2 linked regions of the Notamacropus eugenii genome follow. The protein of the gene in region 1 interacts with the protein of each later gene in a biochemical or structural test. Links are inferred from orthologs where the notes say so. Each region holds a gene or a part of one and is shown in the gene's direction. Other genes may lie near its edges.

The links.
Region 2: the proteins of DNAJC3 (region 1) and THAP12 form a complex in vitro, tested with the Homo sapiens proteins (2 studies listed by BioGRID). The link is inferred for Notamacropus eugenii from reciprocal best matches to the Homo sapiens genes DNAJC3 and THAP12.

What each region holds. Positions count from the first base shown.
Region 1 is NC_092877.1:232,123,181-232,139,748, reverse strand, and holds the start of DNAJC3 (dnaJ homolog subfamily C member 3), read left to right. Parts: upstream 1-10,015; 5' UTR 10,016-10,188; coding exon 10,189-10,270; intron 10,271-16,568. UniProt on the Homo sapiens protein: Involved in the unfolded protein response (UPR) during endoplasmic reticulum (ER) stress.
Region 2 is NC_092876.1:127,767,281-127,783,749, forward strand, and holds the start of THAP12 (52 kDa repressor of the inhibitor of the protein kinase), read left to right. Parts: upstream 1-9,214; 5' UTR 9,215-9,446; coding exon 9,447-9,535; intron 9,536-16,469. UniProt on the Homo sapiens protein: Upstream regulator of interferon-induced serine/threonine protein kinase R (PKR). May block the PKR-inhibitory function of DNAJC3, resulting in restoration of kinase activity and suppression of cell growth.

The sequences.
Region 1 (16,568 bases):
GGTTCTGTAAACTACATGACAGTGAGCTTTATATTGAGTCTAAGCAACATTTTAGAATGCATTATTTAAGAGATGATTAGGAAATATCCATCCCTCCCTCCACCCCCAAAAAAAGAAATCAGACTGTTTTTCTTTTTTGACAAGATTACTAAATTAGAGAGATATTATAGTTTATTACAGAGTTGTAAAGCACCTGACAGTCCTTCATGCTATTCTTATGGAAAAGATGGAGAGATGTGGTCTAGACTGTAGTATAATTAGATAGATACAGAACTAGTTGAACGTCGGACCCAATGTTCTCAGTAATATTCAGATGCCAACTTGTAAGAAAGACTTAAGTGAAGTACGCTCAGGATCTGTGATTGGTCCTGTGCTATTTAACTTTTTAAAAAAATCTAATCTATGATTCGGATAAAATTTTTTGGGGGGTTGGTAATTCCAAATTCAAGACCTCCTGTCTTCATCCAGTTTAGGCAGCTAGGTGGTACAGTGGGTACAGTGCTGGGTTTGGAATTAGGGAGACTCATCTTCCAGAGTTCAAATCCAGCTTCAGATACTTCCTAGCTGTGTGACCCTGGAAAAGTCACTTAACCCTGTTTGCCTCAGTTGCCTCACCTGTAAAATAAGGTGGAGAGGGAAATGGCAACTACTCCTATATCTCTGCCAAGAGTTTCCCCTCCCCTGCCCAAAGGGAAAAAAGGGTCATGAAGAGTTGGACACAACTGAAAATGACTGAATGGCATCAATAATAATAGTTGATATTTATTTCATTTACCTTCCCCTGTACCGGGCACTGTTAAGTGCTTTATAACAGCTATCTCAACTGAATGTCACAACAACCCTGAGAGGTAGGTGCTAATTATCTCCATTTCACAGATGCAGAAAATGAGGCAAACATAGCTCACACAGCTAGACAATTTTTTTTTTGCTCTGCAGAATTTAGAAAAGAATACTTAACTTTAAGAGTCCACAAACACAAATATTTGGTATTATAACTGGGAGAATTCAGTGGCAGATGACCCTATGTTCTGAGGGCTAGTATAATTCTAAGACAGATATGGAGAAGGGGAAGAATCACAGCTTTTCTGTTTCACATAAAAATGATACATTTTAATGGCTATAGAGTCTCTAACAGTGCAGTCTCAGAGTTGGAAAGGTCCAATCTCCTCATTTTCCAGATAATGTAGCTCGGGTCCCAGAGTAGTTAAGTGATTTGCCAAAAGTCACACAGCTCGTACAAGGTGCCCAGCAGTCAGAGCTGGGATTTGAAGCCAAATTCTTTGACTCCAAATTCAGCACACTTTCTGCTTTATCACTGCCCTGCCATATTCTGGTTTGTATCATATTTATCTGTATAGTTGTCATTACTCCTACAAGATCCTAGGATTTAGATTTAGAAGGGACCTTAGAGATGATCAAGTCCAACTCCTATATTTTACAAATGAAAAAACTGAAGCCTCATGTGATTATGGATTGTGTTTTGTTTCTTCCTACAAAAGACACATGTAATGTACATCCATACAGAACTTTAAGTTTTACAAAGTGCTTTCCTTACAATAAGCCTGTAAGATAAGTGGAGCAAGTATTATTTGCCCCATTTTACAGATTAATTTAATTTGAAATGCATTTAAAAAATTAACAGATATAGGTTCTGACAATTTAAGTAACTTGTTCATGGACATATAGTTAGCGTTTGAGGCAGGATGTGAACCTAGGTCTCTAAAATCTAAATTTAGCACTATTTCCACCATGCCAGATTGTCTGCAGATATGTCATATGGAAAAAAATGTTACATAGAAAAATAATGACAATAGGTTACATTAATATAGTGTTTTGCACTTTTTTGCAAGGTTTGCAAAGTACTTTATATTTATTAGTTCACAGCAATCCCATGAAGTAGATGCTCTAATGATTTCCATTTAATAGATGAGGACCTGAAGATCAAGGAAGGAACATGAGTTCCAAGGAACATACTGCTATTTCCTATCTCTGACTTCAAGTCTAGCACCATAGCTACTAAATGTGTTCGTCCTTTGTTGCCGAAGAAGACTATGCCATCAGAGAAATGATGACATGACTTGCACTTGACTTTGTTTTGAGTGAGAGAGGGCTGTGTAGGTCACCAGCCTCACTTCTCCTCCAGGGCCATCTGTGACCAGATATACGTCAAATGACTGGGGATGACCCAGCATGAGGTAACTAGGGTTAAGTGACTTGCACAAGGTCACACAGCTAGTGAGTGTCAAATGTCTGAGGTAAGATTTGAACTCAGGTCTTCCAGACTCCTGCACTGGTGCTCTATCCACTGCACCACCTAACTGCCCTACCATAGCTACTAATCAATAAGTCAAAAGCATTTATTAAGTGGTTAGGCATGTGCTAGGTACTGAGGATATGTCTTCAAGGAATTTACAATCTATTATGGGAGATAACATAGTATATGCAGAATGAAAACAAAACAAATATAAGGGAGTTTTGGAAGGAAGGGCACTTGTCCTCAGGGAAACAGTAATGGTTTCAACCTAGGCTGAGACTTGAAGAAAGTAAGGAATTCTATGTGGTAGGTTGGGTGGGTGAGGAAGATACATTCTAGCTAGGTGGGATTGTTACTGCAACGGCACCTAGAGAGATGCTGGGTTTGTTGTGTGTGAGGAAAATCAAAGTCAGCTGGGCTTAACTATAAAGAGTAGGAAGGAGAGCATTGTATATAATGGATCTGTATTGGTTGTGGCCATGTTGTGATGGGCTTTGAAACAGTTTTATGTTTTATCCCAGAGGCAACAGAGAGACACTATGGATTATTGAGTAGGGGAGTGAAAAGCTCAGACTTTCACTTAAGGAAGGTCACTTTGGAAGCTGTGTGGAAGATAGACTGGAGTGGGAAGGGATGAGGCAGGGAGAACAATTCAGAGGCCATTTCAATAGTCTTGGTAGGATGTGATAGGGACCTGAATCAGGGTGGTGACTTTCAGTGTAGCAAGAATGGGCACAAAACTGGAACAGTCATGAGATAATAGTGATGGGGAGATTCAGTTATCCTGTCATCTGCTTCAGTTCTCACTGATGAAAGCAAAGCTTTCTTGACTTGCACTAATAATAATGTCATCCTTCAAAAGGTAAAGGAACCAACAAAGTGCAATTCTATTTTGGATGATTTTCAGTAGCACAAAGGAATTGGTTTCTAGGATGGAAATAAGAACTCTAAGGGGAAGTGACCATTCCTTCCTAAAGTTTGTGATAGAGAACACATATATCCTAGATTTTGGGAAGACAGATTTTTGAAAGACATAAGAGGAAGGACTGATAGACTTTTACAGACTAAAATTCTTCCTTTTCTAAACTTTCTCATTTGTTGACTTCAATGATTCCAATTGGTTTGATTAGCATATGATTAAGCTGATGATTGCCAGATCTATCTATCTATCTATCTATCTATCTATCTATCTATCTATCTATCTATCTATCTATCTATCTCCAGTTCTAATCTCTCTCCTGAACTTCAAGAGAAGCTTCATTTACAGCTAATTACTGCACATTTCAAATGGATGTCCCATAGCTATCAAAAACTCAAAATGTCTCAAAACTCCAAACCTCATACCCAAACATACCCTTCTTCCTTTTAGGCTTCCATGTTCCAAAGTTGGTGTTATCTTTGGCTTCTTTACCCCACATGAATATTCAGTCAGTTGTCAAATCTTATCATTTCTATTTTCATAATATCTCTAACATTCAATTCCTCATTAATACACACAATTACTACCTGAGTTCAGGCCCTCAATCACCTTTCATACAGATTCTTGCAAAGGCCTGCTTTGGTCTCTCTGCCTAAAATTTCTCCCCTACTCCAATCTATTCTCCACACAGCTCCCAAAATGAACTTTCTTTGGTAAAAGTATGACCACTTCACTCCCCTACTCAGTAAACTTCAGCAATTCTCTATTGATGTTAGGATAAAAGAAAAACTCCTGTTTGTCTTTTAAAGCCCTTTATAACCTGTTGCCAACCAACTTTACCTGTCTTCATTATACATTTTATTCCCCTTCCCATTCTCTACAGTATAGAAAACATGGCCTTCTTGCTGTTTCTTACAAGATGGCCTTCCCCATTGGGCTCTGCATTTTCTGTCCCTGAGGCCTGACATTCACTTCCTCCTTCTCCTCCCCACTTGACAGAATCCCTTGCTTTCTTCAAGACAGGTCAAGTGCCTTCTTCTAAATAAAGCTTTTCTTGATTCCTCCATCTGCTAGTACTTTTCTTCCCTGAACTAGCTTGTATTCTATATATTCTTCAATATGTATATATTGTCTCTTCCAACAGAAGCAAAGACCTTGAGACAGGGAATGTTTCATTTTTGCTTTTGTATCCCTAACACCTAGCTGAATACCTGGAACACAGTAGAAGATTAATGAATAATTGTTGATTTACTAGAAGGGATAAGAGCATAGAAGGGATAGGAAGCTCTTAAAAATAAAATTATGAAGACGCAAGGATAAACAGTTCCTATGAGGAAAAAAGAGGACTTCTTTACAGATTCTAGTGGGGGTGCACTGGGAACTCACCAAGCAACTCAGGTTCTTAACACACATATAGTGTATAGAGCCCATATAAGGTTGCATGCCATCTCAGGGAGGTGGAGAAAGTTATGGAAGTGATTGTTGAAAACTGAAAACAAATACATAAATAAATTTGGAAAAAAACACACATGTACAAAAGAAGGAATGGAGTGCAGGTAATGGGATTAACATGAGCACATAGTTTTGTAAAAAACAGTGTCGATCATGCTAAAGCTTTGAATGAGCTGGGGCGAGAAAGGACAGCAAAGGCTTTTGGGGTTTTTTTTGTTTGTTTCTTTTTAACTAGTTGGGGAAAAGAGAACCCACATATAGGACTGCTGCTTAGGGACAGCAGAAAAAATGGTAGTATTTTGCTTCTGTTTTCTTGGCCACCTGAAATGACCATTGTAGTAGCCACAAATGGCAAGGGGGGAATTAGCCAAGAGAGGTACCACATAGGTGTTGACTTCGATTCATTCATCACCTGGTCCTAATGAATGCTATCTTTGGCTACTGAAAGTACTGGCAGATGTGCCTGCTAGGCTACTGTCACTGATATTTGAAAGATAATTAAGAATAGGAAAGTTTCAAGTTTGGAACAGTTCAAGTGCTATTCTGATTTTAAAAAAGGGTTAGAGCACCGAGCCTGAGAAGTATAGCTGAGTGAGCTTGGCCTCAATTTGTTTAATTCTAGGGTAAAATATTAGATAGTCAACATCTAAAGAAACTGATTATAATGAGTGAGCATGGCTCCATAAAGAACATCTAAGTGGTAGAATAACTTTATTCCTCTTTTTGGCAGGGTTACTTAACTGGCAGAGAAGGGGAATGCAGCAGATAGACTGTAGTTTATTTGAATTTGAGAAAATACATTTGATAAAGTATTTTCTTTCTTATGGAGATAATTGAGGGATATATGCTGGATGAATAAACAATAGATTTGGAACTCCTTGAAAAGATGTAAGCAGAAAGCATTTATTGATTCAGTATAAATTAGGCAATATACTGGAGTACCCCAGCAATTGAGGTTTAACCTTCCATTGTTTAACATTTTATCGCTCACTTGGATAAAAGCAAAAGTGGTACACTGTATCAGATCTGCAGATAACAGCTGGGAGGGAAAACTGACACAGTGAATGGCAGAATCAGGATCCAAAACGGGTCTTGACTTAATCTTGATTAGAAAATAATGAGATTACCAAGGAATGGGATAAAATGCAGTCTTCTACCTGGGTTCTACAAATCAGCTTTGCAACAGCAAGATAGCTGAGGTCTCCAATGATAGGAATTTGGGGATATTCTGGTGGTTTTAGCTGATTGTAAATAAGCTCAATACGTTGGCCTTGTGTGTTATGACAGCCAATAAAGTAATTTGATTTTGGGCTGCAGTATTAGATGTGATAGCTTCTACCAAGTGATAGCCCCTCTGTGTTCTGCCATGGCCAAAACACATTAGAAATACTGTGGTCAGTTTGGAGCGCCACAGTTTGGGAAGTAATTTGGAAAGCTGGAGCCGGTTCAGAAGAGGATAACTATGATGGTGAAGGGCCTTAAGTCTGTGCCACGTGAGGTAGTTGTCTTTGTCCTTCGTTCTTGAAGTGAATTGGATTTAAGTGAGGAAGGGCTGTTCAGAGTCACTAACCTCACTTTCTCTCCCCGAGCCATCTAGGTCCAGTGACAAGATTGATCAGAACTGGATGCAGTGGGACACCTTGGCCTTTTTAAGCTAAGGTCTTTTCTCAGTTTGATTGAGGCAGTGACTATTTAGTGATTAAGGTTAGGTAAGAAATGAGGCAAAGAATGACATCTTTTACCTAGTCAAACAAAAAAAAAAAAATCCATCTGGGAGGGGAAGACCCTCAGGGTTTCTGGCCAAAAGAGAAACAACTGCTATTTACACTCACTCAGCCATCTGGGTCCAAACAAGAACCAAGACAGGCTTGGGCTGGGACCTACTGTTGGCTAATCAATGAGAGCCAGAGTGATGTAGGTTTAAGGTATGGTTCTTAAGAAAGAAATCTACCCTGAAAACCCCAGGACATTCAGGTTTCAAGATTTCAGGTTTCAGCAATCAAAATTTATATCCTTTTGGGCAGAGCACTCCCAAATAACGGTATGACACTTTATGTGGACAGAGGGAGAAGAGAGTGGGAGAGGAGGGAGGGCTTGCTGAAGGAAAAGGAGTTGAGTTTGGAGAAAAAACTTCTATCTTCCAGTATTTTAAGGGCCCATGTGCATAAGGTATTAGATTTATTTTACTCAGCCTTAGGAGACAGAACTACGGGCAACGGGTAGAAGTCACAAAGAGGCAAATTTAAACAATGTCAGGTAAAAAGCTTCTTAAATGTTAAAGTTCTCCAAAAGTTGAATGCACAGCCTCAGAAGACAGTGTGTTCCCCTATACTGAAGGTCTTCAAGCAAAGCTGTCAGATGTTATAGTAGAGATCACTTTCTGACTACGGCTTGGACAAATGTGGATGAATGGGCTGCAGGGCTGCCCCTCCCTTCCACTGTTTCTGGCTGTAGAGGTTCCTTCCAACTCTTAAAATTGTGTGATAATACATGCAATGCCATGCTAGGCCATTGTTCATGTAGAATTGCCTCTGAATATTACTAGTTTGCTTTGATAGTTCATTATTAACACATCATTCATGACTTTATACCCTTATTATCCATTAATACTCAACACTTATTTGGATAGCAAGTCTTACATAGTTATTACCTAGATAATAAAGTAGTACTCAAAGTTGGGAAATAAACAACGACTACAGCTACCTACAGCACAACAGGTGTGTATATACGAGGTGAGCTTGCAGTGAAGGCAACTTTGAAATGTTACTTTTTGTAAATAGTTTAAATGCCAGAAAATTGTTTTCCCACAGCACCTAGGTATTTTGTTTTGTGATAAGTCACATGTGTTGCAATGAAGTCAAAGTCAAAGCCTTGGACAGACAGTAATATGCATGGAGTAGAATTTTCAAATGCAGAGAAACACCATTCTTAAATGTTGTCTAGAATCCACCAATAATGATTTGTCCTGGTATTTTTTACATGTTTACAAGTACACATATCCAAATATATAAATGAGAACAAATGAAAAATAAGGATACACAAGCTTCCATTATTTACTGCTAAATCTAAAACAGAAGATATTAATGACTAACTCCAAAGCTTCCAAACTAACTAGCTTACTAAAACTTAAGCAAGTTCTTAGTTCCAGTATTCTAGTATTTGGTAAAAACAGCCCTCCCTCACTCAAAACAAAGTCAAGTGCTAGTGATGTCATCATTTCTCTGATGGCATGATCTTCTTTGGCAAGGAAGGACGAATACATTTGGTAAACAAATTTCCCCTTATCCAGACTTCCATCTCCTGTACTTTTGTTCCTAATAGAAGAGCCCTTATTTAGTATTCTAATAAGATCAAACCCTAAACTGATCATTTTAGGTGCCCTCCTTGGACTTCTTTCAACTTTATTACATCTTTCTTAATGCCAGAACTGCAGTAAGCATTAAAGAAGCAGGATATAACAACCTTTTTTGTTCCCTTCATGACAAAGTCCATATTTTCTCCATCTTTTGGCCATACCATCACATTGGGTTAGTATCTTCATTATCTGACAGTTGTTGACCCTGAAGTACATCTGTCACTTGGTTTGTGCAATGTACTTAAATCAAATGGACTCAGACACCTTAGAAGAGAAGGTTCTCTAGCATTCTGATGCTTTTAACTTTCTACCACCACTAAACTAATGACTCAGGGGTGTCAACTCATAGCTTCGAATCATGGATTTCTCTAACTTTTTTTTTAAGTGAGGCAGCTAGATGGTGTAGCTAGGATTGAGAGGATAGAAGAGCACCTGGCCTGGGGTGAGGAAGATCAGAGTTCAGATCTGTTTGCTAGCTGTGTGATGGTGGGCATGTTTGTCTGAGTTTCCTGTTGTGAGGATGAGATATTTGTATAGCAGTTAGCACAGCGTCTAGCACATAGTAGGTGCTATATAAATGTGAGCAATCATTAAACTGCCATCTTGAAGATAATACAAGCTCAGTCAGTTGACTGGTTAATAAATAAACAAAACAAAGCTGATTTATAGGATATAGTTCAGATCTGCGATTTCACTTGCAGAGAGCACTTCCCAATAAAAACACTCCAATGGAGATGGGTACCTTCTCGGCAACTTAGTTCCAGAGGTTAAACCCAGGATTACATAGTCAGTAATTCAATTTAATAATTGATTAATTCAAATTAATAACAGCGTCTACTCTGTGCCACGCATCATATATGCTGTATGCTGAGCGGTATCCGCCAGAGGTGGGACTTACAACACAGGTATGAGAAGTATCGGTACAAACCACACGTGTGTGTATATAAACATATATATGTATCGTTTGCACCGATATTTCTATGTAACTTGCCTATGTCAGACTATGTAGTCTACACATCCATATACATACATCATCCACATACGTATACACATACTACACATACATGCATACATACATACACGAACACAGACTGCAGTCAGTTTCGCTGCTCGGATCAGCTAGGCGCAGACTCTTACGCTCGTTCCCAGTCCCACTTCCCAGTGCCCTCCCTTTTACCATTTCTCTCGGCTGCCCCGCTTACTAAGGATGCAAGGACTTTTTTTGGGGGGGGGGGGGGACGGTCTGATTCTACGCCAGCTTTCCTGGCAAAAGCAGGTTGGACTAGAGGAGCCCGCCCGAACCCGTCTCTTTTCCCGGGTTCCCCCTCTGGGGCCGCCCGCGTTTCTTTTCTGGTCTTTCCTCCCACTTCCATCACATCCAGTCACTCCACAGGAGCACCGCACCCTCCCTCTCCCAGCGCCATCAAGTACTCCGACTTCCGGTTACTCCGGGGTTCCGTAGTTGTGTCTCGGCACCACCCCGCCCAGGAGGGCCGCTCCCCACCCCCACCCCACCCCGCACACGTGCTCCTTCGGGCTGAGCGGGTCAGCCCCTCGTGGCGGATTTCCTTATCTGGGAGGCGGGGGCGGAGGGTGGACGGTAGGCTCTCCCAGGCCCCTTCCAGTTCCGAGTCTGCGGTTCCTCAGCTCGGGCTCTCGGGCTCACTTCTCGACCGTCACCGGAAAAGCCAGACTAGAAGGAGGCCGCATCCCGTGAGCCAAAGAAGGATGGAGCAACAGCAGGAGCTTTCCAGGCCGCCCCAGGCGCATGCGCCTTCGGACGCCGCCCCGCCCTCCCCGCCGTCGCCTCACAACTTCACCCTCCAGGGTTCCCGCGGGCTCTTCCCCGCTCGCTCCCAGTCCCTCCCTCTTTCCTCCTCCCCGCCGAGCCAGCCTTAGGGTTCTCTGACAGCTCGGGCTGGCGGACGCCTCTGCGTCTCGTGCTTCCACGTTATCCTATCAGAGAAGGGGCGGGGCTAGAACATCGGCGACCTATCAGCGCCGACCACGACCCAGGCGAGCCCGCTTAGAGGAAGCCCTGGAAGCACGCGATTGGACGGCGGCGGGGGTCCGGGGCGTAGCGGCGTCCGCGGCCCCGCCCCCTACTCCCGTCAGCAGCCGTGGCCCGAGCGGCTCCAGCGGCCGCGGGAGCTGGTCAGTTCCCGCACTCTCTCTTCGTCGGCCTCTTTCTCCCGAGCGCACTCGGCCATGGTGTCCCTCGGGTCGGTGACTAACCGGCTGGGCTCGGTCTTCCCCTTCCTGCTTGTCCTGGTGGATCTGCAGTACGAAGGTGAGGGAGACCCTCCTGGCCTGGGGCGGCGGCGGCGAGCGGGGCCTGGCCCTCGGACGGCTTTCCCAACCCCCTACCCCCGCGCTCGGGAGGTGCGGGCCGGTGGAGGGGGCCCCTGCGACGGGGGTATTTGCGGCCGTCGTTGGGGTGCATGGGGCGGGCCGTCCCGGGCTGAGATGGGGCTGAGCCGTCGTGGCCGAGCTCCAGGTTTACGGTCCCCGTCCTACGCCCCCCCACGTCCCCGCCCCCTGGCCGCCTCCTAGGGATCCTGGGGCAGGGGCTCCAGGTGGGGCCCGGGACTCGCCGGGATCACTTTGTTACTCCTGGGAGCAAAGGAGCCTTAGCCGCCCCTCCCCTGACGGAGGGGGCACCCTCAGCCGCCCCTTCCCCAGGAGAGAGGGGAAACTCTTAGGGACCCCTGTGGTGAGGTTTCACGTGGGGCGGAGTGAAGGGCAGTGGACTGGCCCAGGTATCTGTTGACTGGCGGAAGTGGAACTTTGCTTCTTAAGTGTAAAAGCAGTTGCTTTTTGGGGGTGGGTGGGAAGGGAGCGGGGGGCTCCTGTGAGGTGCAGCAAGATTTAGGAAGGCTAGGGACCATAGTTTTTGGTTCTCATACTTCCATATATGCTGGGGATGCTTACAGATGGTTTTTTCACGTTTGGGTCAAGGGATCAGTCGGATTTCCTTTGAATGAACCTGTGGGGTTTGATCTGGGATACTTAGGCAGGAGGGACTATTTTTTTTTAATAGTGATGACTACGTAAGATACAGCTCGTGACCAAGATACTAGGAAAAGAGACCCTAAAAAGGACCAAAAGTGTTGTTCTGTAAACTAGAACCGCTAGAACTTTGTATATGTCAGTGTGAACGTTTGACCTTTTTGTTATTTGGGTACCTTAAACACTGAATAGCACAGATACTGGAGCTTATCCAATGTGTGCTTCCTGGTGAAAGCTTAAATTTATAGAGGAAAAAGTAACAGCTTTTAGAAAAAACTCAACACCTTATTTTTATAAAGGGGTCCAAAAGACTTTCAGAACTGACTTCAAAGATCCATGTACCTTCTTGAACAGAAAAATAAGGTCTTTACAAGAAATAGGGGCACAGTATTAATACAAAATTCACTTTAATTAGAGCTTTGAGATTTTTTAGAAGAATTTTGAACAAGTCATATTTTAGAGAATGGAAAGGCTGTGTGGTAAAAGAATCAAGTGCTTGACTAGTTTGCCATTGAAAATTTCTGGAAATTTTAAAATACTGCGTGACAATTAGTATTTTGTGGTATTGTACGTGGTCCAATTTCAACTACCAGTGTAACTATCAAAACATTTTGAATGAGAATGACCTATCCTTAAGAGGAAATCCAATAGGACCATTCCTAGAAGAATTCACTAGAGCGAATAAGCTTTCTTTTTCTCAGTTGATACTTGTAGCAAAAATCTTACGAAAACAATGATACGCTAGGTTTGGAGGAACTACCATAGATGTAAAGCTGGTTAACTGTATTTGAAATTCTTAAAGGCTTGTGAAAAGTCTAGTGGTGGTGTTCAAATTATATGTTGGCTTTTTAAAGACCTGTTCTTCAAAGTCATTTCAAGGTTAGACTAGGAGAAGCGGGACTGTTCTCTACAAATATTTATTGCCATCCCCTCTTGTAGACTATAGGAAACTTAGTTAGTTGATGCCCTAGAGTGATTTATAAATTGCAAAGGCCAGAAATATAAACTGAGCAGCGTTTTTGATCAAAACTGCTTCATTTGGTTTTCTTTTAAAAATATTTCTAAAAGCTTATTTATTTACAATTAGTTTCTTTTTAAATTTTGGGTTTCAAATTCTCCCCCCCCCCACCTACCGGTTGAAAAGGTAAGCAATATGTCAATTATACATGTGAATTCATGCAAAACGTTTCCATATTAAGCCATAGTTCTTTTAAAAAGCAAGAAAAACAGAGGGAGAAAATTGTATTTTAATTTGCACTTAGAATTCATCAGTTCTTTCTCTGGAGATGGTTAGCATTTTTTCATCAGGAGTCCTTTGGAGTTGTTTTGTATTGTTGTGTTGATCAGAATAGCCAAGTCTTTCACAATTGATCATCATTTATAACATTGCTGTTAATGTGCAGAATGATCTCCCAGTTCTCACTTGACTTTGCATCAGTTCATATAGGTCTTGCCATGTTTTTCTGAAATCACCTTCCTTGTCATTCCCCTTAGCATAGAGTATTCCAATTATTCCCTACAACTTGTTCAACCATTCCTCAGTTGATGAGCATTCCCTCCATTTACAATGCTTTGCCACCACAAAAAGAGCTGCTGTGAATATTTCTGTACATTTAGGTCTTTTTTCCTTTTCAGAATACATACCTAGGAATGGTAGTGCTGGGTCAAAAGGTATGCCATTTTAATAGCCTTTTCACCCTACTTCTAAATTGTTATTCAGACCAGTTCACTATTCCTCCCACTTTTCCTTTAGCATTTGTAATTGCTAATATATGTGAGTGGTAACTCAAGAGTTGTTTAAATTTGCCTTTTGATCACTGGTGATTTAGAGAATATTTGCTTTAGAACATTTTTTTTTCCGTTTGACTTGATAGCTTTGATTTTTTTTCTGGAAACTCCCTTTTTCTATCCTTTGACCATTTATTAATTGGGGAATGGCTCTTATTTTCATGGCTCAGTTCTATACTGAGTATATATTTCAGGTCTTTATCACAGAAATTTGCTGTAAATTTTTTTGATATAACATTTTTGTCTGTGGTACCTTTTTGAAAAATGTAATTATCCCTTTTTATTTGCTCTAATTTTGCTTTTTTCCCTCCATCCAATTTTTTTCTATTTCTTCTTCTAGAAAGTTTATTTTGCTTCTAACCATGCTTCTCTTAATCTGCCCTTCCTTTTATCATCCCTCTCTCTTTTTTCTTGTCCTCTTCTTCTATTACCTTATTAAGTTATATTTCTCTACATAGCTGAGAGAAAGAATGTATGCATATTTTTCCCTCTTTGAACTAATTCGAGTGAGAGTGAGGTTCAAGCCTGTCTCCATCCTCCCCATTTTCCTTAGCACTGTAAAATCCCTTCCTTGGGGCTTCTTTTATTTGGGAAAATTTTCCCCATTCTACCTGTCCCTCCTCCCTCCTCCTAGTGTCCCTCTTCCTTACCCCTGCATTTTTTTTGGAGATAATTCCAACATAAATGACTCCTTTCTGTGTTGTTTATGTATACTCCTTTTATCTGCCCTAATAATGATAAAGTTTTTAGTCGTTACATGTATCATCTTCCCATGTAGGAATGTAAACAGTTTAACATTGTTGAAACCTTTATGATTGCTCATTCGTGTTTACTTTTTTTTTTTTTTTTTGTGCTTCTCTTGAGTCTGGTGTTTGAATGTCAAATTTTCTATTCAGTTCTGGTCTTTTCATCAGGAATGCTTGAAAATCCTCTATTTTACTAATCTTCCTGCTCTTCATTTCTTATAGTATAATAGTATTCCATTACATTTATATACCACAGCTTGAGCAACCATTCCCCAGTGCATAGACATTTCCTCAATTTCCAATTCTTTGCTACCACAAAAAAGAGCTACTATAAATATTTTTACACATAGGGGTCTTTTCCCCTTTTTTATAATCTCTTTGGGATACAGACCTAGTAGTGGTATTGTTGGATCAAAGAGTATGCACAATTTTATAGCCCTTTGGGCATAGTTCTAAATTGTTCTCCAGAATAGGTGAATCAGTTTACAACTTCACCAACAATACATTACTGTCTCAGTTTTCCTATATCCCCTCCAACATTTGTCATTTTCATTTTCTGTCATATTAGCCAATCTAATTGTGTGGAGTGGTATCTTAAGAGTTTTGATGTGCATTAATCTAATCAATGTTGATATAGAACATTTTTTCATATGATTAGATAACTTGGATTACTTTACCTGTTCATATCCTTTGCTATTTATTAGTTGTGGAATGGTTCTTATTTTTATAAATTTGACTCAGTTCTCTATATATTTGAGAAATGAGGCCTCTTTAAGGGAAACTTGATGTAAAAGGTTTTTTTCACAGTTATGGTAGCTGGCTACTTGTGTATTTCCCTCCATCTTATTTTTTTCTTTCCTGTTTACCCTTCTCTCTCACTCTCTCACTCTCTCTCTCTCTTAACCTCCACCTTGTCCATCCTCAAAAGTGTTTTGCTTTTGACCATAATCTCCCCCAGTCCTCCCTTCTTTCTATCAGCTCTCCCTGCCTTCTCTTTTCCCCTTCCCCTTCTACTTTCCTGTAGGGTAAGATAAATTTACATACCTGAGGGTGTATGTTATTAATTCTTTGAGCCAGTTCCCATGAGAGTAAGGTTCAAGCGCTATCCACTCCCTTGCTTCCCCTCCAGCTCTTGTACCTTTTTTATCTGAGATAATTTACCCCATTCTGTCTCTTTCCTCTTCTCCCAGTGCATTTCTCTTTCTCACCCCTTAATTTTATTTTTTTAAATATCATCCCATCATATTCAACTCACACTAATGCCCTCTGTCTTTGAATAATCTTTCTTATTGCCCCTAATAATGAGTAAGTTAGGAGTTACAAGTATCATCTTCCTACGTAGGAACGTAAAACAGTTTAATCTTGTTGAATTCCTTATGATTTTTCTTTCCTGTTTACCCTTTTAATGCATCTCTTGAGTCTTGTATTTGAAAGAGAAATTGGCTATTTCTAGTCTTTTCATCAGGAATGCTTGAAAGTCCTCTATTTCATTTGAATATGAATTTTTTCCCTTGAAGGTTTATATTCACTTTTGCTAGGTAGATGATTCTTGATTGTAAACCTAGCTCCTTTGCCCTCCAGAATATCATTCCAAGCCCTCCTATCTTTTAATATAGACGGTACTAAATCTTGTATTATTCTGACTGTGGCTCCATAATATTTGAATTGTTTATTTCTGGCTGCTTGCAGTATTTTTTCCTTCACCCAAGAGCTCTGGGATCTCTTTCAGTAGATGATTGGTGAATTCTTTCAATTTTTCTTTTACCTACTGGTTCTAGAATATTATAGCATTTTCCTTGATAATTTCTTGAAAGACATCTAGGCTCTTTTTTTAATGATAGCTTTCAGGTAGTCCAATAATTCTTAAATGATCTTTCCCCAATCTGTTTTCCAGGTCAGTTGTTTTTCCAGTGAGGTATTTCACATTTTCTTCAGTTTTTTCATTCTTATAATTTTTTTTTGTTTGTTTCTTAATGTCTCATGGAGTCATTAGCTTCCACTTGCCCAGTTCTAATTTTTAAAGAATTATTTTCGGGGGTGGAGTAGAAAGATGCACATACACTGGCTCTACCCCCACAGCCCATAATATACCTGTAAAGAAAGACTCTCTACAAATTCTAGAGCAGCAGAAGCCATAGAACAACAGAATGGAGGAGATTTCCAGGCCAGGATGACCTGGAAGGCTGTGGGAAACAGTCTGTCATGCAGGATGGCAGAGTGTTTTGGGGTAGTTAGAGGGGAGAAATGGGGAGAAAATTTGGAACTCAAAATTTTGTGGAAATGAATGTTGAAAACTTAAATAAATTACTTTCTTCATTGAGCTTTTATACCTTCAATTCCATTTGGCCAATTTTACTTTTTAAGAAGTTTTTTTCTTTAGTGAATTTTTGTTTCTTTTTCCATGTGACCAGTTATGCCTTTCAAGGCATTCTTCTCTTAATTGGATTTTTACCATTTGACCTATTTTGTTTTTTAAGTTTTTTTCTTCAGTATTTTTTTGTGCTTCCTTCACCAAGTGGTTCACTCTTTTTTCACAGTTTTCTTGTGTCACTTTCATTTCTTTTCCCAATTTTTGTTCTACCTCTCTTTGATTCTGGAAAATTCTTTTTGAGCTTTTCTAGAAATTCTTTTGGGCTGGAGATCAGTTCACAGTTTTCCTTTGAGACTTTGGATGTAGCAGTTTTGACTTTGTTGTTGTCTTCTGAGTTTGTGTTTTGATCCTTCTTGCCACCATATTAACTTTCTGTAGTCACTTTCTTTTTCTCTTGTTTGCTCATATTCCCAGTTTGTTTCTTGACTTTTAACTAGATGTTAAAATTGAGCCCTGGCCTCTGGGTTAAAGAGCAAGTCCTGAACTTCCAGGTTTTTGTGCAGTTGTTTTCAGAGGTAGTTCTTGGATTCTGTAAGTTTTCAATCCTACAAGGTGGCATGATCTAAGGAGAGGTGTTTTTTTTACTACTTTCCTGCCCTGTGTGCTAGTCAGTAAGCAATTATAAGCACTTTTTTTCTGCCTTGGAACTGTGACTAGTCCATTCTCCTCCACTA
Region 2 (16,469 bases), on another chromosome or scaffold:
TGACCTTGCACAGCCCTCCCTCATTCAAATCAAAGTCATCTGCAAGTCATGTCATCATCCTGATGTCATGGTCTTCTTCAAGAACAAAGGACACACACAACAACAAGAACCATCCTCCTCTTCATCTTTTACCTCATCTTCTTCCTTGTCCTTCTCTTCCTCCTCCTCTTCTTCACCTATCACTTCCCCATTCTCCCCGAAAACACTCTCCAGGCCTTCCCTCTAGACCTCAGGGTTAGAGTCTAGAGCTTCCTTGTCATCAGCATTGTAGCCATCGAGTTATGTGAGCTGGAGCAAGAGGGCAAACACACTCTCCCAAAAGTTCATCAGCATGGTCACTTTGCATTTGAAAAGTTCTAGGCTCTTGAAGTTCAGAAGTTTTTTCAGGGGCTCCAGTGTATTGATGTCCTTAATTTTGTTCCCACTTAGGTTTAGCTGGATCAGGCTGGGTGTTTGTTAGACCAGGACCTCCAGGCCTCAAGAGAGATGGTTATTGCTGAGCTCTAACTTTTGAAGTCGGGGAAGCTTGGGTAGGTTGGCCAAAGACACAAAGCTGATGTTGACAATGCTGAGAAACTCAAAGTTTTCAAATTCTGAAGACAGGCCCCCAATCTTCTCATCATCTGAGAAGGAGTTATCCAAGACTAGAACCTTCACCTACCCCAGCTTCTTGTTCTGCAGCTCCAGCATAACCTACCACCTCTTGATGTCCATGGCCACCCAGTCCAGCCAGGGAGCCCCAAGAGCCCTGAGAGCTGCCACTGTGTAGACTGCCAGGAAGGTGCCAAAGGCACGTAGAGGGGAAAGGGGTGGATATCATGCCCCTGAGGGCCCTGGAGCACGTTCCCAGCCCACTTCTGCTTTTTTAAGGAACTGTTTTTTTTACTGAATTTTTGTGCCTCTTTTACCATTATGCCAATCTTGTTTTTTTAGGTGTTATTTCCTTCAGTACTGCTTTGTGCCTCTTTTACCAAGCTATTTATTCTCTTCTCATAATTTTCTTGCACCCCTTTTATTTCTTTTCCCAATTTTTCCTTTACCATTCTTACATTTTGTTTAAATCTTCCAGAAATTCTTGTTGAGTTTGAGTCCAGTTAGCATTTTTCTTTGAGGCTTCTTTTGGTAGCTGTTTTCACATTGTTGTTTTCTTCTGTGTTTATGTCTTGGCCTTTCTTGCCACCATAGTAGCTTTTTGTGATTAAATTTTTTGCTGTTTCCTCTTTTTTCCCCCCAGTTATTTCTTGACTTTGAACTTTATGTTAAAGTTGAGCTCTGTTTACCTAGGGATGGGATGACCCTGTGCCAAACTTCAGGTTTTTTCATGCTACTCTTTTCAGAGCTTGTTTTGGGTGTATGCGAGTTTTGGGTACTTCTAGGCTGATGTGATCCTGGGAAAGGTATGGTCAATGGTCTCCTGGTCTACTCTCTGGTCTTTGCCAAGGAAGAGTTCCTGCTCTCCTATAGCTGGACATGGTAATACTCATCTTTGCCTTGGAATTGCAAAAAGGGCTCCCACTCCTTTGGGACTGATCACCAGCTCCCCTCTCCAACCCAAACTGCCCTGGAACTGTGTTTGTGCAATAAGAGTTGCCAAACAGCACCAACTGTACTCGGAAAGAGCAAAGGGTCCCCTGTAATCTCTTTCTGACTCCCTTATTGTCTCTGAGTTGAAAGCTCTCAAAGTTGCTGTTGCCCCCGTTGTTACTGCTGAGGCCTATGTGGGCTCGGGACAGACCCCACCCCAGTGTAATAAAATTCTCCTTCTAACCTCTTAAATTTTCTTAGGCAAGAAAAATGTCTTACCCAACATTTTGTTGGCTCTGCCACTCCAAAATTTGAGATGAGGCATTATTTTTAAATTGTTTGGAGAAGAACATTGAGAAAGTTCAGCTGGGCTGCACCTAATTCACCCTCTTGATCCACCTTTCTTTGACTCTTAATAGCAACTGCATCACATTCAAGATGCTAATTCAATCAGTGGTATTTCCAGAGTCTAATTTGCCAGCATTTTAAGGTTCCTGAAATGTCTTCACAGCTACTCTGTTCCCCTTAAGGTACACCATTTCTGGTATTCTCCTACTTTGCAACTGCTCATTTCTCACAGCATAGTTGGTGGGTTGGCCACTGAAAGGATTATTGCTGTTATTAGCTTATGTTTTTTTTAATGAATTTTGTCTAGAATGATTCAGACACAAGTCGTTATTCTACTGTTACTCTTTTATGTTTAATGATCTGTAGACTATTATACAGATGGATAAAATGACTACTTTGTAGTTGATTAAAACTATTGAATATAATCTTATTAACTTAAAGTATCCTCAGGACTACTCTAGTAGCAGTGAAAACAAGAACGAGTCAATCAATAAACATTTATTATATGCTTAATATGTAGCAAGCACTTTGTTAAATACTGGGGATAGAAAAAGAAGCAAAAGATAGTCCCTTCTCTCAAGGAGCTTACAATCAAATGAGGAAAACAACATGCAAATAAACATATACAAAACAAGCTATAAACAGGATAAATAGGAAATAATTAAAAGATAGAAAACATTGGGATTAATAGGGGTTAGAGAAAGCCTCCTACAGAAGGTAGTATTTCAGTCGGGATTTAAAGAGAACCAGGGAGGTCAGTAGTCTGAGAGGAGAAGAGAGAGAGTTTCAGGCATGGAGGACAGCCAGAGAAAATGCCCAGAGCTGAGACACAGATTGTTTTGTTTGTATAACAGCCAGGAGGCCAGTGTCCCTGGATGCAAGAGTATGTGGTGGGAAGTAGGGTATAAGAAGACTGGAATGACATATACATTGTTTTATTCCCACTTAGTTTTAATGTCTTCTGTTAGGTTTCTATATTTTGAAAGCTTTTCACTCTGTGTAGTTTGTAGGTTATGAGTAGTCAGTATAGCAATGTCTACTTAGAATATTGTTCTAAAATTATTATGGATGAATGCTGAGCAGATGATTGTGGGCAGCAGTTGATTTTGTCTATAATAATGCTCATGTTCCAGTGCAGTCTGTTGAATTCTCAAGGATATTTTGGGATTTGTATTTGTAGTATGAAGATCTGTTACCTAAAGGAGAGTGAGGTTCTGGTGTATAATTCTAGCTGTCCGGGGTGTCATGCTATATTTTTGTAACCTGCAAAAATGAGTTATTGAGCATGGAGTTATTGGAGATGTCACCTAAGGAGAATTTTGATTTTACTCTGAAATCTTAAGCCATTTCATAGGCTCTATCTGGAGCCAAATCACATTCAATTATATTCAACAAATTTAATAGTAAATACCTGTTGTCAGCCTTTACTATTACTTTATGAAGTAAGATCTGTTTGGTCTAAAGGTATTTCTATAAATTTTTAATCAGTTTATCGTGGGCCCTGGGTTTATCTGTTAATTCTCTTTTTCCTTCCTGACAAGGAAGGGCTCATCTTTCTTTAGCTTCTTTGGGGTAATGAAGCCTGTGTTTCTTTAACGTTGTATGTTTTTTGTTTGAATGCCTTCTTAATCTGTTGTATTTTATTACCAAGCCAAAAGTACACATTAAAGCAGGCATTATAGAGGTGTCAGTTTCTCTTAAAGTGTTCCTGTTGTTAAATTTTGACTTCAGGATGTCAATCAGTCTTTTAAAATACGCAGTTCCACCTTTCTCCTCTTGTCTTGCCAGGAGACAATAATGGTAATTGTACATATTATCTTTATCCCTTGGCTGCTTTGACTTACAGTTTAAAGAGACCTATTCACTGAATGGGCATTGCCTGACTCAGGGACCTTAGCTTAAAAGGACCAAAGTCTCCCATTGCATCCTGGATCATCTCTAGTTGTCTTAATAGATATCTGATCACTGGACTCTGATGGCTCTGGAAGAGAAAGTGAGGCTGGTGACCTTGCACAGCCCTCCATTTAAGTGAAAATCAATTGAAAGTCATATCATCAACTACCCGATGTCATGGTCCTCTTTGAGAATGAAGGACAAACCACACAAGCTCAACGTCTTCTGTTTCTATTTTCCTTGGCTCACGTTACAGATTTTACATTTGTCAAGTGGAAATATGATATCATACTATTCACTTATATGGATTAACAAGTGCACCAAAATACTCAGATTTTAAAGAACAAAACCTAGGGGATTTATGGAGGTGTGTGGCACTCTATTATCAATCTTTTTGAATATCAATTAACACTTATTCTTTAAATACAGTAACTAGATCCAAACCCACCTAATCGTATTATTGTCTAGTGCCAGGGGTGGGGAACTTGGGGCCTCAAAACCACATGTGGCCTTCTAAGTCCTTGGGTACAGCCTTTTGATTAAGTTCACGTTTTACAATACAAATTCTTTTATTAAGGGGACTTGTTCTGTAAGTTTGGATTAAGTAAAAGGTTGCACTTGATGACCTAGAGGGCCACATTTGGCCCCAAGGCCACAGGCTCCCCAACCCTGGACCCATCTTTCTCCATCTTTATCACAAGGACAGCATGAGAGACTTTGTCAGATGCCTTACTGAAATCTAAGTATAGTATGTTTTTGCCTGTGACATTTCTCTGATCTACCACTTTATTTCTTTGGTTTGGTTGTATAAAGAAATTAAGTTAGTCTGACATAACCTGTCCTGATTAAGTCAAACCCTCGCTGATCATCACATCCCTTTCCTAAATGCCCACAAACCATCCCTTTATTAATATATTCTAGGACTTTGCCTGGAATTGAAATAAAAAAAATCAGTAGTTTATAGTTTAAAGACTTCGTCTCTTCCATTTTGAACATATTGACTACTCCCATTTGTATAGTGCTTTAAGATTTGTAAATTATTTTACATAAATTCACATTGGAGCCTCATAATAAACTTGGGAATAAGTAGCAAAATATTCAGATGGATCTGTGATTCCATAGATATGAATCTTACTTACAATCATGTAGATAACAATGCATCCCTATGTACCTGTCCCCATAAGTTCATTCACAGTGGGTATACACAACATTCTTAATTTCTCTTGAATTGTGTAGTTACCAGTATAGGGAATGTGGGCCATCCACTGATTTTTCCCTTGATCTTGCCACATGACCAGTCATAATCTTTTGATCGTATATTTCTTTGATATCTTTTACTCTGATTCCTTCTCCCTAGCTCCTAATTATCCACTCAAGTCTTTTCCTATCCACTATGCACCTTTCTACTACCCTCTGAGAGATAGCAATACTCAATCTTAATTCTATAGAGACTGTAGTATTCCACAGTTGGTCATATAATACCATCTGTAAAATATTGTTACTAAAAAAGATAGGCCTTAATTTCAGGGAGAAGTTTAGGGTTGAGCTCTTTCCCTTTGGTGCTCATGTCCATCTTCCTCCTCTTATTTAATTCTGGACTCCATTGATTGTCCACTCATGGTGTCTCTCTAAGGTTTATTATTTGTGCTTGACTAACGGTAGGGCCTTCTGAGTTTATATAGGTCTGATCAGCCACAGTCTGTCTGTCTGTCTGTCTGTCTGTCTGTCTATCTATCTATCTATCTAATCTATCTATCTATCTACCTACCTACCTACCTACCTACCTACCTACCTACCTACCTACCTACCTATATATCTATCACTGTATCTCAACTCTGACATAATGATGTCATTTTGGTCCTCTTCAAGAATAAAAGACAACAACCAACCAACCAAGGTTTAAATCTTAAGATCAAAATAATCAAACTTGCTCTGAAACAATCTACATTTAATTACTATATTTTTGTTTTTATAACATTTTCTTTCTCAGTATATATTATAGGTTCATAGTCTTAGAGCTGGATGCTGATTTATAGACTTAGATCTTGGCAATCAATTATTGTCTTTTTTAATTCTCTTTCTCCAATGGCTCTCACATCCATCCATCCATCCATCCATCCATCCATCCATCCATCCATCCATCCATTCATCCATCCATCCATCCCCTTATGTCAACTACCAACCTATTTCAGCTCCTCTTTTTCTCTCACATGGACTATTAAAATATAGCCATTGGTTCAGCTAAGTGCAATTTCAGTGCATGGATAGAGACTGAGGCTGAACCAGCTTTTCTCAAATGGCAAGTCTGAAAGGGAAAATTCAATAATAGATTCCCAGTTTTGTTTGTTTTAGAAATTTTGCGGGGGGGAACCCCATCCTACAGAGGAGGGCCTGCTGTACAGGTTCTTAGCTCTGCTTTTCTGAAAGGAAAGTAACTTTTGAGGGGTCAACAATCTACTTTAATCAAGCACATATATCATTCACTTAGTTCAGGGGAAAAAGTATCCTGAATTTCAGATAAAATACAAGCAGAGAAATAAAGACCAACAGACAGGGCTTCCAACTGTCTGACCATAAGCAATTGTGTTCATCCTTCATTGCCAAAGAAGACCATGCCTCAGAGAAATAATAACATGACTTGCCCTTGACTTTGTTTTGAGTAAGGGAGGGCCATGCAGGTCACTAGCTTCACTTCTCTTCCAGAGCCATCTGAATCCAGTGACCAGATATTCATCAGGATGACTGGCGATGACCCAGGATGAGGCAATTGGGGTTAAGTGACTTGCCTAAGTCACTTAGTGTCAAGTGTTTGAGGTGAGATTTGAACTCAGGTCCTCCTGACTCCTGTACTGGTGCTCTATCTGCTGTACCATCTAGCTGCCCCAGCAGGCACTTAAATGTTTACTGACTGTCTGACTATACATTAGAATCTTTCTCTAAATCATTCATTTATTAACCATAAGAGTTGTAATATTCAAGTATTCTTCTGCCCTGATCCTTTACAAATTTGTAAAAGGATTAATTTACTGAAGGATCTGCATTTTTTATTTTATAAAAATGTATTTTAATACTTCAATTAGATCTGTGATCTCACTCATGTTGTTTAATTAGTTCAGATCTCAATCCCTCCATATCTTTTCTTCCCATTACAGCTCTTATCCAAGTTCTCCCAGAAATACTCCACTCAGGGTGCCAGGGGCCTTCCTTCTCCTCTAGTTCTCTTAATAGCAATGAAGTATGTAGGCTGACTATAAGTAATACATACATCACAAATCAACAGACAGATCCAACTGTCTGACCATTAAATACATAGTTACCAGAGAGAAAAGCACCAATATCTGGGTTTTCAAAGCTGGGGGGCTCCGTAGTGGCTTCCCAGAGTCTAGTCTGGCCAAACAAACACTTCCAATGAGTAAGCCCCAAAGTAAAACCTCACCTCAGAGTATTTATGCATTTTTCAGCACTGGAGAACACAACCCTCTGACTCAGGGCCTCAACAGAAATTAACAAAAGGTATTGAGGCCTATTAATGATTGGGGAAGATCTTTAACTCTTCCCTGTACTCACCATTAACCTTACATTAACATTACAGGGGGGCAGGCAGTCAGGGTTAAGTGACTTGCCCAGGGTCACACAACTAGCAAGTGTCAAGTGTCTGAGGCCACATTTGAACTCAGGTCCTCCTGACTCTTTATTCGCTGTGCCACCTAGATGCCCCTAAAATTTGTAGAAAGGGAAGAGTGAAGATGGTACTTTTAAGACAATACAAAGGTAAGCTTGGTTTTGAGAGATGAGTTTTATACTACAGAACCTGGAATAATTTGGATACGCAGACCTTCAAAGTGCTTCATAGTCAAGGGCTGAGGGATAGTCTCAGAATGCTATCATATTAGTTCATAGGCAACACTGGCCTGGGCATCAGGGCCACCAGAAATGATAAAGTGGTAATGAATCAGAGACCGGTAAGCAGTAGACATCTCAAGCATGTAAAAACCAGACAATGGTATGTTTGACATTAAAACAGTCATGAATGTCAGGACCAGGATGAGGCGTGTAATCATAAGCAACCCCGCCCCCAAAACAGACAAAAGTCAGCCTCCAAAGGAACTGAAGGAGCATGAGCAGGGCACAAAAAAGATAGCTCTAACCCAGTAGCAAAGAGAAGACATTGATCCTGGGGAAACTTGCTATCCAAGCTTTCTAGACCTTTGTGTTCATCTCACGAAGCAAAGGCTGGTCCTGAAGGGACTGTGCCTTGCCCAGAGCATACTGGTGACAAGGACTATAACATTCATTGGCTGAGTGGTGGAAAAGGGAAAGCTGAGCAGGCAGAAGCGTATCTCTGACAGTCACAGATGAAATACCATTTTCCACAAGTTGTTTTCTCCTTCCAAAATGCATTTTCTACCTATTTCTTTGAATTATAAAAAGAGTATCTTTCTAGCTTCTGCTCCCTTTTCAAAACGCCAGGTACAATCTAGGTAATCATTTTTTTTTCGTTTTCTAAATAAGTTTCTTTATCATCACGCTCACGGCTAAGCATCCATCGAATGCCATTCTAAATGCTTCCTCTGGTCCTGGCAGCTGATGGCACGATCACCTCCTCTCCTTCCACCAAGCCTTCTTCGTGCCCGTAGGCTTTTAACGGGCCTCGTCTCGGGGACTGAGCTCCGCGCTACGTGTGAAATGTCGCTGCCTGCCACCTGTCACTTGCCCTTCTCTCAGGGGAGCTCTAGGGACGAGGCCCGCGCCTGCCCACCGCGGCTGCGGGCACACGAGCGGCGGCCAGCCTGGGAAGGGCGGCTTCTAGCATCTGTGACTTCTCCAGCCGGTCCCCGGGGCCTCTGCGGCGCCGCTGTTCTCCTGGGGATTAGGTACCGGAGGGGCCAACGCCACAGTCACGACCGGACCTCCGGGGCTCGCTAAGGGGGCAGATCTCGCTTTCGGGCTCTGGCCAGTCCCCTGAACGAACAAACAGAGGGTCTCCCGCCCGGCCTTATTCCCACGTTGGTTTGGTCAGCTCCGACGCGGCGGAACGAAGCGGGGTCTCCGCAGACCGCAAGGCCGCGCAGCCCAGCCTGGATCTGCCCCACAGCGAGCCAAGGCGCTCCCTGCGCTAAGTGGGGAGGATGCGGCGCGCGCTCACTCTCCGCTTTCCCTCCCCGCCCCGCCTCCGCCTCCCTCCGGCGGCTCGGCTCCCCGCGCCTGCGCGCCGCCACCGCCTCTCGCCCCCAGACGCCGCCCTTCCTCGCTCCGCTCGCGGTCGGCCCGGCCCGGCCCTCACTGCGCGTGCTCCCAGGACTGAAGTCCCGGAGAAAAGGCGGGGAGGAGAGGAAGGAGAAGGGAAGAGAGCCCCCGGCAGCAGCGAGGGGGAGGGAGGCAGGGTGCATTGTGGGAAGGAGGCGGCAGCGTCCCGGGCGGACGGGCGGGCTAGAGCCGTCGGCGGCGGCGGTAAATCCTCCCGGCCGCTCACAGCACTGTGGAGCTGCGTCCCCAGCCCGGCCTCGGCCCGCGGCGCCCCTCCTCCTCCTCCACCTCCTCTCGCCCTCCCTCCCTTCCTCTTCTTCCCTCCCCTCCTCCTCCTCCTTCCCCCCGAGCCCAGCCGGGCCGGCCTCCCCGGGGGCCGGGAGGCCGCCGGCGGGGGGCAGGGGGAGGGGGCCCGGCCGGCTGGACGGGCGACGATGCCGAACTTCTGTGCGGCCCCGAACTGCACGCGGAAGAGCACGCAGTCGGACCTGGCCTTCTTCAGGTTCCCGCGGGACCCGGCCCGGTGAGTGCCCCCGCGGCGGCCGCTCGGCGCCCCTCGCTCTGGGCTCCGGGGCCAGAGGGCAGACGCCCCTTCCAGGCGCGAGGCCGGGCCCCCTCGGGGCGCGAGCTGTCCCCCGTCCGGGACGGAGGGGGAGGGGGCAGTGCGCAGGCGCCGACCCCGGCCGACCCCGGCCGCTCGGAACGACCCGGGCAGGAAAGCCGAGAAGGGCGGTATTCCCTGTAGGCGTCCCGGGACGGGCACGTGCGCCCCGGGGAAGGGGCTGCGCAGCCCCGGCCCCGCTCGTCAGGCCTCCCTCGGGCGCGGACACAAGAGGGGCTTCCTTCAGTGCGCCCTCCCCTGAGACGGGGGCAGCTCGCGCGTTAGGCGCCTGCTGTGTGCCGGGCTCTGTGCTTGTGAAGCGCCGGGGGGATGGGAAGGGGGGGCTGGTGGTAAAAGAACACTCCCCGCCCCCCGAGGGCTCCCGGCCCAGTGGGGGAGACCACGTGCAGACGAGTAGGCCCGAAGGAGAGCGGGGGGAGCGAGCGGCTTGCCCTCGAGGGAAACACCGGGGTCTGCCCGGTGCCCACCCGAGATGGGAAGGGCCGGCCTTGGGCCAGCCCACGACGTGAAAGTACCGGACCGACGGACACGTCCCTTTGGGTTTGCAGAGTAGGGAGGTGTCGAGGTCAGGGGGCAGAATGAGGGCCCTGACTGGCAGAGGCCTCTGCTTATGCCTAGGGTAAAGGGGCTAGTTAAGCCTTATTTTCCTGTTTTAAAAGGCAGGGTTGGACCGGGTGGCTGGGGGATAGACACTGGATCAGGAACCAGGAAGATCTGAATTCAGATTCTACCGTAGACACTTACTAGTTGGATGACCCTGGCAAGCGGCTTTGCCTCTGATTGCCTCAGTTTCCCCTCGTGTAGGAAATGTTGGGAGTAATCACAGGTGTCTCTTAAAGTTATTGTGAGGCTTAGATGACAATACTTGCCCAGCATATCTACCCCACCCTTTGGATGTCTCTTGCCTGCATTACACTCTGTGGTAAAATAGGTATATGCGTAGAGGCATGTAACATAGATGTAATGCGTGGTACACATAAGTATATGTTTAGTATTGTTCTGTGTTATGTATGCATACATATATGTGTGGGTATGTATGTACGTGTGTATATATCTCTATATAGGTACGTACATGCACACACATATATAAAATTTTGTTAACCCCTTTCCTCAAATGTAAGCTTCTTGAAAGTAGGGAATGTCACCTAAAATTTTTTTGTATCCTCCATTGCCGGCTTTAGCCGGAGTAGGCACTTCATAGATGTCTATGCAAGGAATACATGGGCCGACTCCTGCCGGAATGCTTTTTTGATCTCTCCCTCTCTTCCCCTCTACACAGCACTTTGCAGTGGACCTCTCCCATACGTGTGTGGTCATCTCTGTGTGTGATTTTTTTTTTTACCTTGTCAGACTATGTTTATGTTTTTTGAGATTTGTGTCTTCCCCAGTATCTGGACCTGGATCTTGCAAATGATAAACATTTAATATATTTACTTAATTAAAGAATAAACAAACAACAACAACAAAAAAAACAGACCACAAGAACTTGAAAGGGAATAGAGATCATCTTGTTCAACCCAGCATTTTACAGAGAAGGAAACTGAGGCATGGAATGGCCATTTGTCCAAGAGCAGGTTTAAAACTCAAGTTTTCTGCCTCATAATTTAGTCCCCTTTCTATTTTCTTACATTGTGAAGGTTATGTGCCCCGTTTTCTTACTTACCTGCTTTTCATTGCCTATGGGATAAAAGATAACAGATTTGTTCTGGTATTCATAGTCCTCTGCAATCTGGCTTTAGTTAGTCAAGAAGCATTTATTAATTTAATAAAGTCTCTGTCTTCAAGTAGTATACATTCTAATGGGTAGGACAAAATGTAAATAGGTATGTGCAGAGTAAATGGAAGGCTGTGGCAGCTCTTGGGGCCAGAAGACCATCTGCAGAAGGTGGTTTTGAGCTGTCTTGAAGCCAAGGAAACTAAGAGGTGGAAGTCAGAAGGGAGAACATTTAACATAGGATGTTATATTTCAGTCAGTAAACATTTATTAAGCTCCTACTATGTGCCAGGCATTGTGCTAAGTGCTAAGGTTACAAAAAGAGGCAAAAGACGGTGCCGCCTTCAAGGAGCTTACAATCTGATGGGGCAAACAAACATGTACACATGAGCTATATCCAGGATAAAATGGGGGTAATTAAGAGAGGGAAGGGGTTGGGAAGGGCTTCCTATAGAAGTTGGAATTTTAGTTGGAACTTGAAGGAAGCCAAGAAGCGTAGGTGAGGAGAGAGAACGTTTCAGTCATGGAAGACAGCCAGAGAAATACTTGGAGCTGAAAGACAGTGTCTCAAGGAGAGTGGTGTCACTGAATTGAAGAGTGTGTGGCAGGGAATAAAGTGTAAGAAGACTGGAAAGATAGGAGGGTGTTAGGTTTTGAAAAATCCGGAACTAATAGTGAGTTACTGGAGTTTGAATGAGGATCTGTTGGACTGGGGAGAGACTTTTGAAGCCTTAAGAATAATTAGAAAGCTATTGCCATAGGCTAGTGAGTAGGTGAGGAAGGCCTGAGCTACCATTTGGACAGGTACAACTTCTCTGGCTTCTTTCAGATCTCAACTAAAGACCCACCTTCTGCACTAAGCCTTCCCAGTCCTTAATCTGATGGTCTTCTCTCTGCGATTTCCCCCAGTTTATCTTGTCTTTTTATTGTTTGCAGGTTGTCTCCCACATTAGACTCTGAGCTCCCCAAGATCAGGGGCTCTTTTTTTTTTTTTTTTGCCTTTCTTTGTGTCCCCAGCACTTATAAATTACCACAATGGCTTTCCCACACCTTTTTATCTCTCTTGAAACTTTTCTTGGCTCCCATCTCCCCACTCTCTCAGATTGAGAATGTAACCTCAATGTTCACTGGAAAAAATAGAGACCATTCCTTAAGGGTACTCTCTTCTGCCTCCTCATTTGACATCATTCAGATGCCTTCTGCCATTATCTCCTTCACTTGCCTCAAATGAGGAGGTGATCCCTTCTCATACAGTCTTAATATGCATGATGTCCCATTCCATCCCTTCTTCCCTAGATTGTCCCCTTTATTCCTACTCTCTCCCTGATCTTCAGTTTCTCCCTCTGTACTATTTACTTCCCTCCCGCCAATAAAGATACACAAGTCTCCTCCTCCTCAAAGAACCCTCACTTGATCTGTCTCTGGTCCTTCTTGTCCCATATCTGTCCTCTTATCACATCTCATTTGTGGCTAAATTTGAAAAGGCTGACTCTAACCAGTGCTTCTGCTTCCTTTTCTCTCCTAATTTCTCTCCTAATCTTTTCTCTTCCTAATTGGCTTCCAGTCTCATCATTCAACATGAAACTGCTCTCTCCAAAGTTACTAATGACTTTTTAATGTCCAGATCTAAGACTTCTTAATCCTTTTCCTTTTTTAACCTCTCTACAGCCTTTGACATGCTCAGTCACTCTCTTTTCTTTTTTACTCTCTTCTCTCTAGATTTTCTGGTCTTCTTACCTAATTGTTCCTCAGTCTTCTTTGCTGGGCCTTCATGCAGGTCATTCCCACAAATCTTGAGTCTTCCCTAAGGCCATGTCCAGGCCTTCTTCCCTTTTCCCTCTATGCTATTTTGCTTGGTGTGATTTCCTTGATTTTGTACAATGTCTTATCTTCCCCTACTAGATTATAAACTGGTGGGCAGAGACAGTGATTTCCATCCTTGTATCACCTGTTCTTTGCACAGTTTGTACATAATGCAATTGTTTTGAATTTAACCAAACTGAATTATCTATCTTCCTGCTTGTCTCTTTCAGCCTCCATCTACGCTCCCAAAGTTGGGCAAAGTGCACATCCATATTACTCCCTTTTACTGTTTGCTTCCCCCTGACAGAGGATGTGATGCAAAGGCCTGAATACAGGATCTTTATTTGAAGACCTGGGTTCAAAAATCTGCCTTTGCCACTTCTTCCCTGTGTGAACTTGGGAAATTAACATTCCTGGATCTTAGTTCTTCGTTTGTTTAAAAAAAGGAAAAAATAGGTGGGAGTTGGGTTAGAGGTCACTCACTCTGAGGCCCTTTCCAGCTCTATATCTGGCCTATGGTAAATGGCCTGGTCTTCTATCAGTGATTGCAAGGCCATTGTTGTTGTTGCTCAGTCCTGTCTGATTCTTTGTGACCCAATTTGGGGTTTTCTTGGCAAAGCTGATGTGGTGGTTTGCCATTTCCTTCTCCAGCCCATTTTACAGATGAGGAAACTGAGGCAAACAATATTAAGTGACTTGCCCAGGGTTACAGAGCTAATGGGTGGTCTAAAGCAGAATTTGAACTCAGATCTTTCTGACTGCACGCCTCTTGCTGTATCTATCCACCGTGCCATCTAGCTGCTAGTGGCTTCCAAACCATTTCACACGTAAGGAAGTATACACACATAAGGAAATATACAAGTGTGTATATTTTTAAAGTAAGTTTTATTAATGTCTTTTATTTTTTACATCACCAAACATCACCCCAGGCTCCCTTCCCCTCCTGGAGAACCATCCCATATAACAACTGGTACTTTTTCAAGACAATAAATGAAAGAGAAGAGAAAAAAAATTAACATAACTGATCAGTACATTGAAAAAAATCTGAGAATATGTGCAATGTGCAACATTTATAGACCTCCCACCTCTGCAGAGAGGTTGGGTAGAAGTGTCTTCTCCTGTTTCTTCTTTGGAGCCATGCTTGTTCTTTATAGTTTTATTACATTCACTTTTGATATGTGTATGTGGTTTTTTCCATTTTCATTGTTATAGTCTTTGTTGTATATTGTTTCGTTGAATCTGCTGACTTTACTTTGCATCAGTTCATGTAGATCTTTCCATGTGTCTCTGTATTTACCTATATTTATATTTGTAAAGTATTTAAATATACTGTGCTATGGATGTACATTAAAAACATACCTTAAAATTGAAATTAAAAAGGTTGAGCTAGATGAAATAAATGGCATTTAAAAACTTTTTTTTATTAATGAAACAAAAACTTCACTTGTACGAAAATATTTGTAATATTTTTAGTAAGAGCAATACGATTGAATAAGTTTTATATTTGAAAATCATAGCTCATTATTTTGATAGTAATCTGAAGGACTGGTACTAAGTTCAGTTTATTTTTACTTGATTTTATTAGCTATTTTAACTGAAACTTTTATCAAAAGATGCATAGATTGAAACGGAAGAAGTACATTGTTAGCTGTGCTCACTAAAATCTTGATAATAATTTTTCAGTCCTGTCCAGCAGTCATAATGCTTTTAATTGAAATTTGTCTAATATATGGCCATCCTCCATGATATTAAATCAGTTGTTCTTGGAAACTAATTGGAAGATGTTGCTTTTCTTTTCTTTCTTTTTTTAAGCAAACATAAATTTTTAAATAGGTTAGAAAATTACATTTCAACTATTTTTGTCAACAAAAGCATTTTGAATGCCTACCTCATTATGAGGTCTTTGTACTGTTGCTAGCTAAATTCTCATAACACAAAATACACATTTAGAGCAAGGTTTATTCTTAACAGTAGTAGATATAAATCCATATTTCACATAGTTTTGATAAGTTTAAATGTTTTGGCTGACTTCTTGTCAGATCAATTTAGTTTAACATTGTTTTTACATTGTAATATATCTAAAGGACTTGTACCAGATGTAGGAAGGCTGTCAACTCTGCCATTTTCTTGTTCACTTGTGATCCTGGTAGTAGAATTGTCTCTAATCTAGTTTCCTTGCAGGAATCTGTTTAAGCCACTTTTCCATTTTGGGAGGGTCAGTTTAGTTTAAACTAGATTATGTAACCCATAAATCACTTACCCAGCTCCGTGTAAACTGTAATACATCATAGTGTGCTAGAAGTGAGTGATGGAGTGTACTGTTCTCAATCCCTCACCATTGTGGAACTCAGCCTTCCTCTTGTGACGCGTGACTGAGGGAGGGTGCCAGTATGTTGGCCTGTCAATTAATAAGGCTTAATTTTTCTTTTTCAAGATAAAAAATAGATATTCTATCTTCTTCACGTATCCTAATGAATTGTCTTGGAGGGAGTTGGGTAGGATAGTGGTAGATTCAAGTCAGGAAGACTTGAATTTAAATACTGCATTAGACATTTACTTTTTGGGCAAATCATGTAACCTTTTTCAGGTTTAGTTTACCCATCTGCCAAAATAAGGATAATAGCATCTACCTCACAGGGTTATTATGAAGACCAAATGAGATGATATATGCAAACCTCACCTCTCACTCCATTCAGAGGAACATTAGAATTCTGAAGTCCCTTGAGAGGGTATCTTAGTCAATCAGTATTTATTAAGCACTTACTGTGTGTGAGGCATCATGCTGAGCACTGGGGTTACAAGTTTGTTTTTTTTTCCCTATGTCATTGTGGATGTGTGTTTACCCAGTCTTTACTTGACTACTTCCAAAGAGAGGGAGGGAGCTCATGATGTAGTAGCTTCATTGTGAGGCAGCTCTGATCATTAGAAAGGGTCTTCTTGTTCGCTGAAACTTGATTTTAGTTCCGTTGCTTTATATGTATTTCAGCATTTGTGTCTCCTGTGAAATTTAGGTTCTGAAGAGCAAAGGTTGTTTCATTTCTGCCTCTGCATTCCCAGAACAAAATAAAGACCCCAGTAAAGAAGTCAAGTCAGCAGTTAGGATGCAAAATTAACTATAGGACAGAAATTATTACTAGATATTAAAATTTTGGAATCTATATAAAGGTAATTAAACCCACTGAAGTTAATGAAATCACTAAAGAAAAGACTATACAATGAAAAGAGAAAGGCCTGAAAAAACTGCTAAAATGATAAAGAAAATGATGAGGAAAATGTCTTTTTCTTACTGTTGATGGGCATTCTTAGTGAATATTGTAA